Linked DNA regions of Diceros bicornis minor. The protein of the gene in region 2 interacts with the protein of the main gene of each other region in a biochemical or structural test. Links are inferred from orthologs where the notes say so. Each region holds a gene or a part of one and is shown on either strand. Other genes may lie near its edges.

Evidence for each region.
Region 1: the proteins of SH2D1B (region 2) and SLAMF1 interact in a test that uses a peptide from one of them, tested with the Homo sapiens proteins (2 studies listed by BioGRID). The link is inferred for Diceros bicornis minor from reciprocal best matches to the Homo sapiens genes SH2D1B and SLAMF1.

What each region holds. Positions count from the first base shown.
Region 1 is NC_080743.1:65,245,672-65,255,739, reverse strand, and holds the start of SLAMF1 (signaling lymphocytic activation molecule), read left to right. Parts: upstream 1-5,556; 5' UTR 5,557-5,609; coding exon 5,610-5,685; intron 5,686-10,068.
Region 2 is NC_080743.1:69,028,846-69,038,586, forward strand, and holds the start of SH2D1B (SH2 domain-containing protein 1B), read right to left. Parts: upstream 4,217-9,741; 5' UTR 4,139-4,216; coding exon 4,005-4,138; intron 1-4,004. UniProt on the Homo sapiens protein: Cytoplasmic adapter regulating receptors of the signaling lymphocytic activation molecule (SLAM) family such as CD84, SLAMF1, LY9 and CD244. In SLAM signaling seems to cooperate with SH2D1A/SAP.

The DNA.
Region 1 (10,068 bases), about 3.8 Mb from region 2:
CTGCCTCATGTTATAAGGACCTCTGGTCAGAGGCTGTGATGAAGAGAGTCACTGGTTGGGAAGCCAGGATGCTCAGGGGCAGCCCAGTCCTAGGTAGCTTCAGGCAAGTCACTTTGCCACCCTTAGCCATAAAGTGTCAGGAGAGAGAGTAGCAAGTCTTAGGGGGATGTTACACCCCCCTGTTTAGCCTCATTGTGCAACCCACCTAAGATTGCTTGGGGACAGCTGTTTTCCACATACATATGGTCCTCCTCACTCTCAGGGTGGGGATCCACATAGGTAAGAGGAAGGAAGTGGTGTTTTGTCACAGGTGATAGAGGGGAGGGGCAGAAAACAGTGCTAACCCAGGATTCTTCTGTTGCTCATGTCTTCATCTGTGCCAGAGGGAATGTCCCACAGATAATGGGCTATTGGCCACCATAAGCCTGAAGACTGGCTAAGTTTCTTGCCCAGTGTAATGCAAGTGGTGAGTAGATAGAGCACAGACTCCAGAGTTAGATATTGCAGAATTTGAATCCAATGTTCTCACATTTTGGCTCTGAGCCGTTAGACAAGTTATTTAGCAGCTCTGTTCCTCAATTTGTAAAATTGTGATAATTCTGCCTGCTTTTTACTATTATGAAGATTAATGGAATAATGTCCTTGGAAGCCCCAGACATTTAGGGAATTCAGTTAGTGGGATTTCCTCCTTCTTACCCTCTTGAGTGTTCATGGGGATAATGAGTACACTCCAGGGAGAAAGAGGTCTTGACCCAGAGTCAGGTTCCCAAGTTTGGTCTGGGCCCGGCCTTACACCACCACCAGCTCTGCCTCCTTCATAGGGCTGTTGTAAATGTCAAATAAGGCAGCGAAAGTGAAGACTTTTGACAATGGCTTTGTAACTACAAGGCATCATCTTTTGTTGTTGGTCTGTCAAAGTCTGTTCTCTACAGATTCATAGGTGATGGAAGCAGCTTCGTGTACCAAGTTTAATAACTGTAAACCTCTGGTTAGTTACGTTGCCCTTCAGGTCCTGTATTAGGCTTCCTTAACAAAGCCAGGTCCTATTGCTTCCTTAACAAATTACCACAAACTTGATGGCTTAACTGTAGGTTTTTGTAGACATTCTTTATCAAGTTGAGGAAGTTCTCTCCTATTCCTAGTTGACTGGGAGTTTTTATCATGAATGGGTGTTTAATTTTGACAAATGCTTTTTCTGCATCTATTGATATGATCACGTTATCCTTCTTCCTTAGCCAGTTGATATGATGGGTTAATTTATTTTAGTCTTCATACCCGGGATAAATCCCACTTGGTCATAGTGTATAATTATTTTTATACATTGTTGGATTCAAATGAGGATTTTTGTAACTATGTTCATGAGAGATATTGGTCTGTGATTTTCTTTTCTTGTAATGTCTTTGTCTGGTTTCGATATTAGAGTGAGTTAGAATATAGAATAGAATGAGTTAGGAAGAATTCTCTCCACTTCTATCTTTTGAAAGAGATTGTGGAGAATTACTATAATTTCTTCCTTAAATGTTTAGTAGAATTCACCAGTAAGCCCATCTGGAACTGGTGCTTTCTGTTTTGGAAATTTCTTAATTATTGATTCAATTTCTTTAATAAACGTAGGCCTATTCACATTGTCTATAACATCTTGTGTGAGTTTTGGCAGATTGTATCTTTCAAGGAATTGGTCCATTTCATCTAGGTTATCAAATTTGTAGGCATAGAGTTGTTCAAAGTATTCCTTTATTATACTTTTAATGTCGATGGGGTTGGTAGTGATGGTCCTCTTTCATTTCTGATATCAGTAACTTGTGTCCTTTGTCTTTTTTTCTTATCTGGCCTGGCTAGAAGTTTATCAATTTTGCTGATCTTTTCAAAGAACTAGCTTTTGGTTTTGTTGATTTTTTCTATTGATTTCTTGTTTTCAATTTCACTGCTTTCTGGGCTAATGTTTATTATTTCTCTTTTTCTGCTTATTTCAAATTTAATTTTCTCTTCTTTTTCTAGTTTACTAAAATGGAAGCTTAGATTATTGATTTTATGTCTTTATTCTTTTCTAATATATGCATTCAATGCTATAAATTTCCCTCTAAGGCTTATTTTTGCTGCATCTTGCAAATTTTGATACATTGTGTTTTCATTTTCATTTTGTTTAAAATTTCTCTTAAGATTTCTTTTTTGACCTATGTGTTATTTAGAAGTGTGTTGTTTAATCTCCACATATTTTGGGGTTTTCCAGTTATTTTTCTATTATTGATTTTTAGTTTAATTCTATTGTGGTCTGGGATCAGATATTGTACAATTTCTATCCTTTTAAATTTGTTAAGGCGTGTTGTATGGCCCAGAAGGTGGACTATCTTGGTGAATTTTCCATGTGAGCTTGAGAAGAATGTGTATTCTGCTGTTGTTAGATGAAGTCATCTATAGATGTCCATTATATCCAGTTGATTGGTGGTGCTGTTGAGTTCAATGATGTCCTAACTGATTGTCTGCCTGTTGGGTATGTTTATGCCTAAGAAGGGTATTGAAGTCTCCAACAATAATAGTGGATTAATCTATTTCTACTTGCAGTTCTATCAGTTTTTCCTTATGTATTTGAAGCTGTGTTGTGAGGCACGTACATGTTAAGGATTGTTATGTCTTCTAGGAGAATTTACCCCTTTGTCATTAGGTAACATCTCTCTTTATCTCTGATGAATTTTGTTGCTTTGATTTCTGTTCTGTCTGGAATTAATATAGCTACTTCCACTTTCTTTTGATTAGTGTTAGCACATTTTCTCTTTCTCCATCCATTTACTTTTAATCTATATATGCCTTTATATTTAAAGTCGGTTTCTTGTAGACAACACATAGTTGGGTCTTGTTTTTTTGATCTATTCTGACAATCTCTGTCTTTTAAGTCGTTCATTTAGACCATTGACGCTCAAAGTGATTATTGATATCTATCATATTTGTTATTATTTTCTATTTGTTGCCTTTGTTGGATTAATATCTATCATATTTGTTACTATTTTCTATTTGCTGCTCTTGTTCTTTGTTGCTATTATTACCTTCCATTCTTTTTCTGCCTTTTGTGGTTTTAATTGAACATTTTGTATGATTCCATTTTCTCTCCTTTCTTAATATATCAGTTATAAGTTTTTTTTTCTTCTTTTAGTGGTTGCCCTAGATTTTGCAATATACATTTGCAACTAATCCAAACACACTTTCCATAACACTACACTACTTAATGGGTAGTGTAAGTACTTTATAATAACAAAATAATCCTAATTCCTCCCTCCTATCCTTGTATCATTGCTGTCATTCACTTCACTTATAGATAAGCATACATAAGCATATATATGTACATAAGATATATACATAAGCATACATAATTGAATACAACGTTGCTATTATTATTTTGAACAATGTGTTATCTGTTAGATCAAAATTAAGAGTAAGAAAAATAAAGATTTTTATTTTACCATCACTTATTCCTTCTCTGATGCTCCTCCTTTATTTATGTAGATCTCAGTTTCTGACCTATATTTTCCTTCTTTCTAGCGAACGTCTTTTAACATTTCTAGCAAAGCAAAACTACTGACAACAAATCCCCTCAATTTTTGTTCATCTGAGAAAGTCTTTATTTCTTCTTCATTTTTGAAGACTAATTTTACAGGAAACCTAATTCTAGGTCAGTGGGATTTTTTCCTTCAACACTTTAAATATTTCACACCGTTCTCTTCTTGCTTGCAGTCAATTTTTTTAAGTTAAAGAATTGTGAAACATCAAAGACATATATTGTAATCTCACTTGCTTGTCAGTGACACTAGTGACTTTTTGCTGAATAAGATGATAGTTTTTAGTACTGGAAAAATATTTCCTCAAATTTTTTATGCTCCTTACAACTTAAAGGCTACAGTCATGACATATTTTTAAGTTTAATGTGCGTCATTAATGTTTCTCCACCACTTTCTTACATCTAGATAATCGACAAAACAATATATCAAAGCTCTGATTTATATCAATTGCCAATTTTCATGGTATATATTCTCCCACCCTGGCTGATTTCAAGCTACCAACATGACGTCACTGAATGCAGAGCTGGGAAGAGAAGTGCAGCAGCACATGATCTGGTATTTTATTTCCACCACAGAGATGTAATTGATGTAAATGTCCTCAAGAGCGTAGATAATAGTAAAATGTCATACAATAATTAGGAAGTAACAAGCTTTCAGTTTTCATTCCTTTTTTAAATATAATTTGTTAATTGTACATTTCTATAATTCAAATTTTAATAATGGTAATGTTTACCAACCAACCAGCTCACAAGAGTCCTGAAAATTTCACAACTGGCTCTCACGAGTTGAGAGGCTCCAGCACACCACTGGGCAGTGTTGTGGGGAGGATGGATGAGTGTCAGGTGAGGTAGGGGGGAAAACAGTGAGCATAAAGAGCAAATTCACATATACCACCAACTCTTATTACCCTGATCCCCTCAGGAAGGCCCATTGGAGAGTGCCTTTGACCTGTTAAAATGGACTTCAAAAACATTAGCCTAGCCTTTCAAAGTCTCCTTGTGAGCATCAGTAATGGCAACTTTCCAGTGTTTTATTTTTATAACTTAACTCATGGAAAAGCATAGGGTCTTTTTTCTGTCAATTCTAGTCCCTTATCCTCAACAAAAAGTTGAGCCAGCCCTGATGGCCTAGTGGTGAAAGTTCGGCACACTCTGCTTCGGCAGCCCAGGTTCAGTTCCCAGGTGCTGAACCACACCACTCGTCTGTCAGTAGCCATGCTGTGGCGGCAGCTCACATAGAAGAACTAGAAGGACCTACAACTAGAATATACAACTATGTACTAGGGCTTTGGGGAGGTAAAAAATAAAAGAGAGAGGAAGATTGGCAACAGACGTTACCTCGGGGCAAATAAAAAAAAAAAGTTAGACACAAGCTCTAAAATAAAGGTGACCCATCCCAACACAGCACAGGGCTCACTAAATTCTACCACATTGTACCCAGCAGGAAAATTGAGTTTCTGTCAATGATCCGCCCTTGCCCACCCCATCTCTCTGTAACTTTGGCACCAGGACCTGACTGCATATCGAGGTGTCCTCTGAAATTATGGAACAAGTCAAAAGTAAGAAGTCTACCAGCTCCTTAAAGTTCAGTCATCCAAGTTCAGCTTTGAACTAACTGACCCAAATGTGGAGGTGGTCTGGCAAAGCTCCATTTTTCTTTGCATTCAAAGAAGAAAAGTTACCAGAGAAAAACTGCTCAGAGAAGCTCAGCACCCCTTTCCTGGAAACAGCTAAGAAGAGGAAGAGGGGGGAGCAAATTCCTGCCCAAAGTCGGGGTTTGACCGAGGTGACTACACAGCTCCCTTCCCGGCTCTAGTAGTCTCAGCACCTGACTCGGACTTCTCGAGAAGACAAAGTGATTTAAAGCCTGAAAAGAGATGAGCAATCCTCGAGACCATAGGCAGAAAAAGTCCCCATGAGACAGGAAGCCTGCTGGTTCCTGATGCTTAAACTAGACAGTAGAGGCAGCACTGCCTAATACAGAGCTTGCTTCTGCTGTGGCATCTGCGACCAGCTGCCAGGCTCCTCGCCAGTCTCCCTTTCCTCTCCTCACTGGCTGATGGATCCCAAGGGGTCCCTCTTCTTGAACCTCCTGCTGTTTCTCTCCCTGGCTTTTGAGCTGAGCTGCGGATCAGGTGAGTGTTTATCTGCTAGAGGGTTTGAGTCCCGCGATCACCTGCCAGGAATCAGCTAGCCCCATGGGTGGAGAGAAGACGCAGGGGCTAGAGGCTGTGGTTCACTTGCCTCTTCCTTAGGGGCTGGCTCTGAGTTTCACCTGCTTCTTTCAAAGAGGAAGGAACATTGTGAGTTCCTGGGCCCCTGGGTTCCGAGGCTCAGCCCCACGAATCCTAGTTTCCAAGGAAACCAGGAGCTCTAAGCCAAAGGCAACAGTCACATTCAAAACCAGCCTCTCACCATGAAAGGCTCAGGTCAAAGTCCTGATTGAGTGATTGCTTTTGCATAAGTATCATTCTGGCAAGGATCCAGGCTAAGGGACCGAGCTGGAGGGATGCAGCTCTGGGAGAATATTACTCCTACACCCCTGCCCTGGGAGGGAATCCTCACACACAGAATGAGCAGACAAACCAGAAAGATGGTCCAACAACAAGGAAGGGCTGTAGTGAGAAGAGAGGGTAGAAGTGAAAACCCCAGGCGTTTGGTTGAGAACAGACAGTGGCCACAGTGTGGTCATACTGGTGGCTACTTTCCTGGAAGAGAAGGTTCCAAGGCAGCAAGAGGGGGAGAGGCCAGGATTTCTGGAGCCCAAGGCTGATTACAGTAAGGGGGAAATGCAAATTGGGAACCCTCCGTGTCAGGGCTGCTCCAGCGTACACACAGCAGAGCGTTTGGAGCAGGGCTCTTGTCTTTCTGGTTTGTCTTCCTCCAAAGGTAAGCTGGTGTTCTGTGTTTAGTAGTATCAGGGCTACGAGAAAAGGTATTTGGGAAAGAAAAATCCAAGCAAGTGTACTTCGGGCTCACTGTGGAGTGGGATGAGCATCTCCTTTCTGCTTAAATGCCTTGGGACTTTGGTTAGACTGTGGGAGGCAGCCTGGAGCAGAAGCGGCTTTAGGGAGGGGGGGAAATCCTGAGGCTCTGGTTGTTTTGCACTTGGGGTTTTTAAGACCGCAAATCCATTATGGACTTTTCCAGGAAAAGCCCAGAGATATGCTAGGGATGTTGGAGGGGCTGCATGTGGGATCTATCTTTTGCCAGACTCCCAGATGAAGAGGCCCTTCCTTGGCCCCACTTTTCCTCAGAATCAGGCAGACCATGGCTCTTGCTTCACGAGGTCTAGGAGAGGAATAATTGAGCTTAGGGCTTAAAAAGCCAAACTGAACCACTTTAAGCCCTCACAGGGAGAGCCAAGCCTTCCTGGATGAACCCCATCTATGACTCTGCCATTTTTGGAATACTTCTTAGTGACTGTCAGGAGTGATGGGGTGGAACAGTGGGCTGGACTTTTCCATCTCTGTGCTACTTGCCTCCTGGCCAGCCTGGCAGATGGGTCTCTGGTGCTGCTGACAAATCCTCCACTGAAGGCTCTAGAGGTCACTGGTTGGTGAGAAACAGCCCAGCCCCATAGGGCGTGTTTACCCAATCATCAGCAGCTCCCTTCCTTGCATAACATCTTCTCTGAAATATGTACAAAATTTTTACAGTGTTTTTATTTTTAAATATGCACTCTTTTGTGAAACCCCAATAAAACCCAGACGGAAATGCTTTGCAAGTGAGACAGGTCAGCCATGACAGATTTAGCCAACCAAGAAGCCAGATTCTTGTAAAATCGTCTCTACTCAGCTCACCTTCCAATTCCGTCAGAGTTGTAAAAGTCAAAAAGTCCACGCGTCCCTTCCCCTAATAAAGTGAATTTTTCATTTCCCCCAATAGTATTTTTTTAATAGACTTTATTTTTAGAGCAGTTTTGGGTTCACAGCAAAACTGAGTGGAAGGTACAGAGATTTCCCCCTACCCCCACACATGCATAGCCTCACCTATTATCAACATCCCCCGCCAGAGTGGTACATTTGTTACAACTGATGAATCTACCCCAATGGAATTTTTTATGCCTCCATACAGGTTCTCCCCACCTCCTTCACACACATGAGGGGAGAGATGAGGAACAAGTGCGTGGGTTCCAGACTTGGCCCAACCATATGTGTTCACTGGTCCATTCTATCCCGTGCTGTAGATCTAGGCACTTCTATTTCTCAAAAGCTTTAATACTGTGATATAATGCCATCACCTTCACAGTCTCCAGTGCTGGACTGGAAATCAGAACATCAGGGCTATTTTGTTTTATCCATAGATTGACTTTGGATAATCCCATTCAGCAACTATCTATTAAGGACTTATGATGTGGCAGGTACTGTGTGAGGTGTGGGGAAAAGAAAATGAACAACAAACCCTCTGGCCAGCACCCGACACGGTGTCTGGTACATGAGAGCCTCTCCACAAATGCTTGTTGAATGAATAATAATAGTATGTACAGCATGCTTGATATATACCAGGCACTGTTTTAAGTGCTTTACGTGTATTATTCATTTAATTCTCACTCCAACCCCATGAAATATGAGTTATTACTGTTAGCATTACAGTTTTATAAAAGAAGAAAGAGAGGCACAGAATAGTTTAGCAATTTCTCTGTGGTCACACAGCCTGACTCCAGAAGCCTCAGTGAATGAAACTGGATAAGCTTATGTTTAGGGAAGGAAAGAATGCTAAAATTTGTATCCAGGTGCCATGGTAAAAATTAGAATGTGCTATCTATAATTAGAAGCAGATGAATTGATTTTAATTTTATGGAAATGAATTCAAGTATAGGAATTTTCAAAAGGTGAGAGAAGTTGATATAATTATAGAGGCAGTCTCATCTGGAGGTATCTGATCTGGAATTTGGAAAGTGAATAGAAACTTCTTTCATCATGTAAGTTTTCATTTAATTTTTTTGCTATCTAAATAGTTTATTGAAAATATGTTTATATAAACTACGTCTATAAAACTTCAACAATAGGAAAAGGTATTGAATGGAGACAAATCTCCCTTCCATACCCCTCGCTGGAGGCAACTACTGTTACCAGTTTCTCGTGTGTCCTTCCAAATATAAATGTCTGGTAGGTTAGATTTTTATAGGACTTGAAGAATATTCTAGATGAAGGCACAAATACAGAGGTGAAGTGTCGCGAGTATTCAGGGGGAATGGTAAGTGGTCTATTAGACCTGAAACGTAAGGTTCACAGCTAAGGCACTTCCATCTCCTCACCTGGCAAGTGGGGAGAAGGGTCCCCATCATTTCCCTCCATACTCTACCTCTTAGGGATGTTATAAAGGTAAAGCAGAGCACATTCCAACTTTGGAGAGAGGAGAACTTAGACTCCATGTTGTCATTTTTCCACTTCTTCATTCTTTCATCTCATGCAATTTTTTCATTCTCTTGGGCAACAAGGATTTATTGAGTTTCTACTATGTCTCAGGTGGGTGTTGATTACAGCAGTGGGCAAAACAGACACAGTCCCCGAACTCTTGGAAGCTTATAATTGAGGATTATAAGGATGGCAGAAAATGAACCAGAGTTAAAAGCGTGATGAGTGATATAAAGGAGAGATGCAAAGTGCACTAGAAGCACATGGCTGGGAAACCTAATCCACACTAGGAGTCAGAGGCAGAGACCTGAAGGACACAAGGCATTAGCCAGGCACTTAAAGGGCCATAATAGGCTTTCAGGCTGGGGGACGGAAAGTGTAAATACTCTAAGATAGAAAGACCCAGCAGTGTCAAGGAATGGGAATAGGAGGACGGCTGGTGGGACTACCGTTTAAAAAGCAGCCTTATGGGCCGGCCCCGTGGCTTAGCAGTTAAGTGCGCGCGCTCCACTACTGGCGGCCCAGATTTGGATCCCGGGCACATACCAGGGCACCGCTTGTCCAGCCATGCTGAGGCCGCGTCCCACATACAGCAACTAGAAGGATGTGCAACTATGACTTACAACTATCTACCGGGGCTTTGGGGGAAAAAAGGAGGAGAATCGGCAATAGATGTTAGCTCAGAGCCGGTCTTCCTCAGCAAAAAGAGGAGGATTAGCATGGATGTTAGCTCAGGGCTGATCCTCCTCACAAAAAAAATAAATTAATTAAAAAAAAAGCAGACTTAGACAAGTTATCTTTTCTTCCTGGGCCTAGATTTGCTATGAGAACTGTGAAGTCTGTAAGTCCTGCCTCTTCTCTACCTGAAAGAAATGTAGCAGATGCGACAAGCGCATGTGAAAGGATCAGGGCTGGGCAAAAAAAAAACGGGGCTGACGGGAGTGTCATCAGGGAGAATCCCTCTTGTGAAAGGGTTGGCTACATGTTACTGATTTCAAGAAAATATCCATGGGCCCATGTGAATCATTCTACTTTCTAAGTAGAATTACCCCTGAAGGGAAGTGAGTTGGTGTTAACAGCTACAAATTGTTCCTCCAGACTCTTTTAGTAAACAGGGGCTGACTGAATCACATCCCCACTGGAAAACACTCATCAGGT
Region 2 (9,741 bases):
TATTTAAATGTCTACCTTTTGGGTTATCCTGCGGAAATCTTCAACCCCATTTAAGATGTGAGATACACAGGGCTTATAAAGACCATTTTTAAATCTTTGGCATTACATTTTCAGTTGAGAGTTGAAAAGGTTAGAATACAGGTCAGTGTGGTGGGGTATATACAAGACAACCAGTGTTGTGGGGAAACTTGTTCATGTTCGAGTTTTTAGTTTTATTTTAACCAAACTTCAAAGGATCGGCTGAAGGAAATGGAATTGACTGTGGCCTATGATGTCAACTACGTATTCTACATTTTTCCATGCCATGACACAATGGGGAACCCAAGGCAATAAAGAATGTTTTAAGACTTTTGACTTCTGGCCTTCTCACTGATCTTGATTGGAATGTGCATTGGTACAACCTTTTGTTGTACTCATTTGTCAATGTGTGTAGAAATGTTAAAACATCTAGGATTTTATCCTAAGGAGAGAGTTGGGCAAGCTTTCAAAGATGTAAGTACAAAAATGTTAATAGTCTCAAATTACATTGGATCCATTGGACCAAATTGGAAATAACCTAATTGTGTGCTTATGTCTAAATTATGATATATCCAATCAATAAAATACTAAGCGGTCGTGAAAGGATGATGTGTATTGGCTTTCTCTGACGTGGAAAGATACCTACAATACATTGAAAGAAACAGGCCATCATGTAACATGAACCATTTATGCACATATATATTTGCTTATACGTGCATATGCATAGAGAGAAGTCTGGAGAGATGGGTGCTGAAATATCAGAAAGCGTGATTTCTGAGTGGTGAGATTGAGATAATTTCTGCTTTCCTTTTTATTCTTTCTCTGCATTTGATTTTCTAAAACAACAAAAATTTTGAATTATTTTTTCTTTCTGAACTCTAGAGTCTTTCCAAAGAGCTCAAAATCTGAGAGCTGGAGATGACTCTTGAGGTCTCTTCTACTCATTCTTTCTATTGCTGTTTCCTCCTCAGTGAGTTCGTGCAGTAAGTCAAGGTTCAGGTTCTTCTCACCTGCAGCCTTCCTGCGGCTACAGAAAGTCTCTCCTCACCTTCACGCTGCAGATGAGTCCCTTCCATCTCCTAATATCCACTTCATTTTGACTGTACTGATTCTAAAGGCAGACCTAGCTTCAACTTCTGACACCCACAAAGTCACACTACACAGACAACATTTTGCACGTTGGTGTTTTCTGGAAGCTATATCATACTGAGATCAGGTAAGATTTCCTGTCCACTGTTACCACATAGCTTTCTGGTCAATGCTATATCCTGCTGGGCCAACTGTCTCTGTGACTTCCTTCCTTTATTTCTAACCTTTCCTATAGTTTTTGTATTTCAGTCTGTGAAAACTAGAAGTTGCCCTGCTGAGAGTGGTCATTACAGTTATCCCACACCTCACAGTGTCCATTTACCTCCCTATTGCTTCCTCCAGGCTCTGAGCGGTGTTGAAGGCACCAACTGAGGGTCTAGCATAGTGCCTGGCATATGAGAGACTTTATAATTTTATTTATTTATTTTTTTCCCCCAAAGCCCCAGTAGATAGTTGTATGTCATAGTTGCACATCCTTCTAGTTGCTGTATGTGGGACGCGGCCTCAGCATGGCCGGACAAGCGGTGCGTCGGTGCACGACCGGTACCCGAACCCCGGCAGCCAGCAGCGGAGTGCAAGCACTCAACCGCTAAGCCACGAGGCCGGCCCAGAGAGACTTTAAATAATTGTTGAGCAACTAGAATTGAATGGTCTGTACTGATCTGTGTGATAACAAAATTTCACAAGGACTATGATGAGAGCCATTTTGATGTGGGCTATTTGGCCTGAGCCTTAAGCCTGAGGGTTCCTGAAATTTTGTCTGCCTTTCAGTGACATGGGCAAGGAGTAGGGTGAGGCTTGATCATGTGCAGGTGCCCAACAAATATTGGTTCTTGCCTCTCCATTTGATTTATTATTATTATTTTTTACATTTCTTAGTGACTTTCTCTTTAGATGAATATATAAGCTAGATTGATACACCACAGAACAGTTGAGAATAAATGTCAATTTTTAAAGAGAATCCCAAAATAGACTACTTACCCTGAGATCTTGGTCAAGGTCACACCCTTGCAACTTCTTCTTTTTTCTCTTCCCACTGCTTGCCCCACCATAGCTAGTTCCTCCCCATCTCCCATCCAGAGACACAACAGTCTCTATGGCCATCATCTGTCAGCTTCGGTACATTCTCCATATCAGATTGGAGTTCCTAAACTCAGCACCAGTCTTGTCACTTCTCTGCTCAGAAACCATCCATGTTCCCCCATTAGCTACAGAATCATTTTTTTAAAGACCCCATAATACTATGCTACACCTACTTTTCTGAAAGTTGGTTTCCAAACTACCTTTCCAGCACCCTACGTGATTCATGTGTGCTTTAAAATATTCTATTCTAGACCTCTTTTCCTACCTCCACCCTTCCCTAAAACGCCTTCCATCCCATTTCCATGTAACCAAATCTTACCCACTCTTTAAGTCCCAGCTCAAATACCACCTCCTCTAAGCCTTCTTAGAAGGCTTGAAATCACCTTAGAATCTTCCCAGGCCTTAGCACAGTGTTTGAATAGATAGTAGGTATTCACTACATTTTTATAGACATTTTTTAAATTACAAAAATAATACGCACACAAATAAAACATTTAAACAGTAAAAAAAAGTTATCAAATGAAAAGAATGAATCCACAACCCTTTTCCTAACTCACTCCATCTAAATTCCCAGCTGTAACCACTATTATAAGTTTCTTGTATACCTTCTAGAAATTTTATATGAATATACAAGGATATAGGTATCTTTTTTTTTTTACACAAATGGAATCAAACTTTGCATCTTGCCTTTTTTACACAACAATAGATCTTAGAGGTTTTTCACACCATACATAGATTTGCCCAATCTTGTTAATGCCAATTTGCACATACTGTGGAGTCATAACTATAAGATAGATTTTTATTAGTGAAATTTGAGGTCAAGGGTTATATCCATGTATATTATGTTTTGGCCACATTACCATCCAAAGAGGCTGCATTAGCGTGTGCAAGGCTGTCTGCTTCCCAGCACTCTAATTACCTCTGAGTATTTTCATAGTTTTAATTCTTGCCCATTGAATAGGCAAAAATGGTATGTCATCATTCTTTGAATTTGTACTCATAGCTCCCTAATTCTAAGAAGCACTGAAGTGCATCCATAGAGAAATTTGAGTTTTAATTCCTATAACAGGTAGAAGAAAAAGTTCAGTGTTCTCTGTAAAGAGGAGGATACTTAAAGATAGTGGATTCCCGCTGATATGTGTTCTGAATTGCTTTCTAAACTGGGCTAAACATGGTAGCTCTGATACTCTGGCCTGGAATTTCATACTGAACTCAGACCTTTGGAAATGCCAGATGAATTTTAACACAAGCAAGTCATTTGAGAACTCCAGGTCTCTGTTTCTCATCTAGAAAATGGGGACTGCTTATGCTTGCCTTGACAGATGACAAGAAGGATGAAAGGAAATGATGTGTGTGAAGCCCTTTACAAATCTAACAAAATTTGAAATATAATAAGTATTTTAAGTATTGCAAGTGGAGCCAGCAGAATACATGTAAAAACGTGTTCTCTCAAGCTGAAATTTCATAAAAGGTCCCTAGCCTTTTCCATACGGTTATATTTCCAAATAAAGTGACTTCTACTGGAAAGGACCTTTCTCACATGGCTACCTTCTCTGCATTTCCCCTCACCGCCCATGCTTCCTGCAGCCCTTCCCTTCACCACCACTGCCCCCCACTTTGGCTATTCCAGAGAGTCTGCTCCTGTGGCATTTGTACCAGGGAGAGAAGCGCAGCTGGAGAAGCTTAGACAGACACATTCCTTCCAACCTCTCCTTGCAGTGTCCAGCTATTTCTCACCCTGCTCATTAGGACTTTGGTTATCATTACTACATTCAATACAAAGTTTCAAATGCATGGAAGATGAGGCTACTCACGAGACACAGAGGCACAGGACTCCTGGAAGAGACTCACTGTCTCTTAACAGAAAGTTGCCATCCACCCCTTCCTTGAGCAGCAAGGTCTCACAGTCTCTCTTGGACAGAGGCCCGTGGTAATAAGGCAGATCCATGGAGAGCCCTCTCGTATCCCTGAAATCCAGTGGGCGACGGCCTTGAGAAGGGAAGTGGAGGCAGCTGGCCTAATGGGGCCCGCTGTGGTACCTCTTTCTCCTCTGATTGGTAGCAATGAGATGAAGTTGTTCTGTGGGACTCCACCAATTTCGCAAGATTCAGGAAATGAGAAGGGTGGGGGTGATAAAGTGACCAAGACTTTTCAGCCTATAAGTGGCCCAAGTGTGACTCACAGAAGTGGCTGAGAGCATGTTTGATTACACAACAGAATCAGTGATGTACGGGGATGGGGCTGCAATGCTGAAGTCAAGCTCCCCGGCACTGGGTTGGAGCCTTGTATATCACCCTAAATCACCAGTTTTCCCCTTCTCTCTGGCTACTGGTGTCCCTTCCAGAGAGCACACCACTGTTTCTGCTATAATAGGTGCCCATTTTCTGCTGAAGCTGCCTGTGATTATGCTATGCTTAGCTCAGAACAGGTGCTCAAAAGTGTTTGGATGCTGAATGAATCCAGATATGTCTAGACACGATGGGACAATTGAAAAGGTAAGATTTCCATGGGTCAAATGACGTGAAAAATGGCAGATGTCAATGGAAACAGAAAGCAATTGGACACCATAGCAGAGAACAGCCCATTCCCTGGCTAAAGCTGCTAGCCACTGGTAAACAAAGGCCATTTTTAACATTCTCTGGCACTGTGCCTTTTGGGGAAGGAGCTGGTGCAGGTGGGAGGGATTATCTGGGTATACAAAGTTAGTGCAAGGATGCTTCTCTGGGTGGAAGAAAAGAGGATATTAGGCTTGGGTTTGAAGACCTTCAGGTCCTTTGAAGTTCCCGTCCTGGAGGACAGCAGTGATGTGTCCCCATGAAGAGAGACCAAGAAAAGTCTATCTAGTCAGAGATACTTGGCCCCCTTTAGACAATCTGATGTTGATGAGAAAATTCCTTTGTTTTCCTGCTGAGCCTTTTCCACTTTGATCAACTGACATTCTTGGGAAAGGTGGTTTCTGTTATCCGAGGGTCAGAGTTAACCCTAAGAGTAATTTCCAAGGCCTGTTTTTCCCCAACTTTATTGAAATTCACATATAACACTGTGTAAGTTTAAGGTGTACAGCGTGTTGATGTGATACACTTATACGTTATAAAATGATTATCACCATAGCAGTAGCTACCATCTCCACCTTGTCCCATAAATACCATTTCTTTTTTGTGGTGAGAACATTTAAGATCTACTCTCTTAGAAACTTTCAAGTATATAAGACAGTATTATTAACTATCATCAGTATGCTGTACATTAGATACCCAGAACTTATTCATCTACTAACTAGAAGTTTGCGCCCTTTGACCAACGTCTCACTATTTCCTCCAAGGCCTTTTTAAGCAACAAAACCATCCTACACATTATCAATTAATTAATTTTTAATTAATTAATTTCAGATAGAAGAAGTCATGCAAGCATATCTAGCATCCAATGTTTTAAAATGGATTACATTTACTAACTCTCACAATTAACATCACGCAATGTCAGTTGTTATAAACTGCATGTGAATTTCTCCCTATTCAACTGCCTTATCCAAATATCTATAGGAATTGCTACATATCTCAAATATATATCTATAAAGATAGAACCATGTGCTCATGAATCATCCTTACTTCTCTTAATGCTTTCTTAACCCAGATGATTATTTCATCTTGCTGCTTTGTTTACGAGCTGCCCACCCACTCTTGGGGATCTGTCTTGCATTGAACTTCTTAGTAGGAGATTTTCGTTCCTCCTTGGAAGTTCCACTGCTCCAGGGTTGGTGTAATGTGGTGTAATGGAGTGACACTAATCAAGGAACTTGTCATCAGAGAAATGTGCTTTCAAATCCTGATTTCTCTTGTGTGGCCTTGGGCAATTCACCATTTAACTTCCTGGGAATTATGGCAGTTCAGGAGAGAATTTTTACTGATGAAAGAGGAAATTGGCTACCAAGCTTGATGCAAGGATATTTTTTTTAAAATAAGGGAGGAAATAATTGGATGCATGTTCAAGATCTTTAGCATCACAGGGTCTTTAATGCCTTTTTTTCCTGTGTCAAAACCCAATGCCCTCATCCTTGCTCAACATAAGAACAACGCAAATTAAATACATACTGAGATAACATCTCCCACCTATCATATTGGTGCAAATCAAAAGTTTGAAAACATACTGGGTTGGTCATGCTGGGGTGAAATAGAATAAAATCTCATACATTGTTGGCTGGAATATGAAATGGTTACAACTACAATGGAGGAGAGTTTGGCGATATCTAGCAAATTTGTATAGGCATTTACCCTCTGATAGAACCATCTCAATTCTATTTTGTACTAAATAATTCAGGCAAAGATAGTCAGTGGGTGAAAACTTTAGGGAAATGTTTGATAATGGTCTTTACAAGGGAGAGATCATGCTGTCACCACCTAAACCCACTGACCAATCTTAGCACATCTAAGAGTGGGACAACCAGATATTGAATGCCTACTAATTTGATGCAGCAGGAAACACACAGCACCACTGTGGAGTGTACTTTCAAAAAAAGTTGAACTTGGGGCCAGCCCCTTGGCTTAGTGGTTCAGTCCAGTGTGCTCCACTTTGGTGGCCCAGGTTCACGCGTTCGGATTCCAGGAGCAGACCTACACCACTTGTCAGCCATGCTGTGGCGGCGACCCACATACAAGATAGAGGAATATTGGCACAGATGTTAGGTCAGGGTGGATCTTCCTCAAGCAAAAAAAGAGGAAGATTGGCAACAGATGCTAGCTCAGAGTGAGTCTTCCTCACCAAAAAAAAAAAGTTGAACTTGAAATGAATCAAGCCCTTATAACTAACTTCTATTCATGGGACCCTCATGAGGAAGCGGACAAACAAATCCTATGTGGGACATTGACTAGGACAACAAATGTGGTTTCCTCATATGTCAATGTCATAAAAACTGAGTCATATAGTAGGGTGAGGACTGCTCTAGGTTAAAAGAGATTTATGAGGCATAAAACAAATGCAACATGAGGATCTTGTATGGATTCTGGTTTGAAAAAATCAGCTACAAAAAAATTTCCTGCCATTGAGGAAATTTAAATATTGACTAGATAGTAGATGATACCAAGGAATTATTGTTGATTTTGTTAGGTGTAGTAATGGCATTGTGCTTCTGTGAGTAAATAGCCATAGCTGGGTGATGGTGTATGAGGGTCTTTATATTAATGTCTCTATTTTTGTATGTATTGAACATTTTTCACACTAAAAAACCCTTCCATTCTCATGTTATTCTGATCCCATATCACCTTTGAGAATAGTTGCACAGTACATATTAACATCTTTAATTTCTCACATGGATCCCCTTTCTCTCATCCATAGAAATCAAAGCCTAGTGCCGTGTTTGTAGAACATGACCCTATCCCTCTAGCCATGGTTGATTGGACCAAGGGTAGGCCCCTGACCCAAGATGGGCTAATCAGACACACTTACTAAGGAATTTGGAGGGAATGAAAAAAGGAAGAAAGAGAGAGGTGCAGGGGATTGGAGGGAGGGAGGAAATAAGAATGGAAATGAGTTTTCTAGGAATAGCTGTATAACAGGTACATTGTTGTGCTGTGAACTGGTGGCCATATCCCACCCAGCGGCCAGAATAAGAGAGAAAACTGGTCCACACAATGAAGAATAAAGTAGACTCATGGAGAGAAGCAGAGTCAAGAGAAAGTCCTACTAAGGCAACCTACTGAATGGGAGAAAATATTTGCAAATCATAGATCTGATAAGAGATTAATATCCAAATTATAAAGAATTCATACAACTCAATAGCAAAAAAGCAAATAATCCAATTTAAAAATGGACAAAGGACTTGAATACACATTTTTGTGAAGAAGATATACAAATGGCCAAGAGGTACATGAAAAGATGCTCAACATCACTAATCACTAGGGAAATGCAACTCAAAACCAAATGAGATATCACCTCACACTGGTTGGAATGGCTATCATCAAAAAGACAAAAGATAGCAAATTCTGGCAAGGATGTGGAGAAAAGGGAACCCTTGTGCACTGTTGGTGGGATTATAAATTGGTGCAGCCACTATGGAAAACAGTATGGAGGTTCTTTAGAAATTAAAAACAGAACTACCATATGATCCAGCAATTCCCCTTCTCAGTATATATCGGAAGGAAATGAAATTACTATGATGAAGAGATATATGCACCCTCATGTTCGTTGGAGCATTATTTACAATAGCCAAGACATGGAAACAACCTAACTATCCATCAACAGATGAATGGGTAAAGAAGATGTGGTATATATATACAGTGGAATATTATTCAATCATGAGAAAGAAAGAAACTGTCCCTTCCCTTGTTGGGGTGGTGTTGCATCTGGATGGGATGCCTGGACCTTCGGCAATCATTGTGGGATCAAAAGAGCTAGGCTGCCTGCTGAGAAGGGCAAAGTGGGGAAAGAGAGAAAGAATCTGGGTCCTTGTCAATGGCATTGAGCTGCTTTACCAACTGCCCTAGGAGCCCATCCCTCCTGTGGACTTCCAGTGGAGCGGGAGAATAAATTTCCTGCCTGGTTAAGCTATTTGATTAGGGTTGATTAGCACAAAGAATCTTAATGGATACACTGACATATGGCATTGATTTTTTTTTATTAGTTCCAGTACTATCTTCATTGATAGTGGTTTTTTTTAAATGTAATTACTTAGCTATTAATAGTGTGCAGCAGTTTCCACAACAATGTTGAAATCCCACTACTTTTAGATTTTCCCATACCTTGACTATCAGCTTTCCTAAAGTCCCTCTACCATAGATTATCTCTCATTTTTCCTCTCCTCATTCCTCAAATAATTTTTTTTTTTTTGTGAGAAAGATCAGCCCTGAGCTAACATCCGTGCTAATCCTCCTCTTTTTGCTGAGGAAGACCGGCTCTGAACTAACATCTATTGCCTAATCCTCCTCCTTTTTTTTTTACCCCAAAGCCCCCCAGTAGATAGTTGTACGTCATAGTGACACATCCTTCTAGTTGCTGTATGTGGGACGCGGCCTCAGCATGGCCGGATAAGCGGTGCGTTGGTGCGTGCCCAGGATCCGAACCCAGGCCGCCAGTAGCGGAGGGCGTGCACCCAACCGCTAAGCCACAGGGCCAGCCCGTCAAATAAATTTTTAAAGACCTGATATTACTATGTTGATTATTGAAAATAATAGCTGGGTGTTAAATTAATATGAACATACTGTGACATGCAGATAAACTTCTGAGCTATTTAATAAATGAATACAGGTAGTATATCCATCTCACTGCCTTAACTACTTTATGTATCAGAACATAGTTTTCATATGCATCATTTTATTTAAAAATGGAAATACTCAGAAGTAAACAAAATAAAATTAAAAAACCCCTGAAGAGTGCAAACAAAAGTCAAAGGGGCTGAGGCACTCCCGTCAAATATAAAAGGTAAACTTGGTGAGTACAAATTTTAGGAGAAGATGCGATTAGGAAATTTGTTACTTAGACAAGTAAACGTTAGGTAACTTGATTATTCCATGCAGTTTGGTTTAGGTGAACTGGTTTGACTCTTTTTGGAACAATACACGAGAA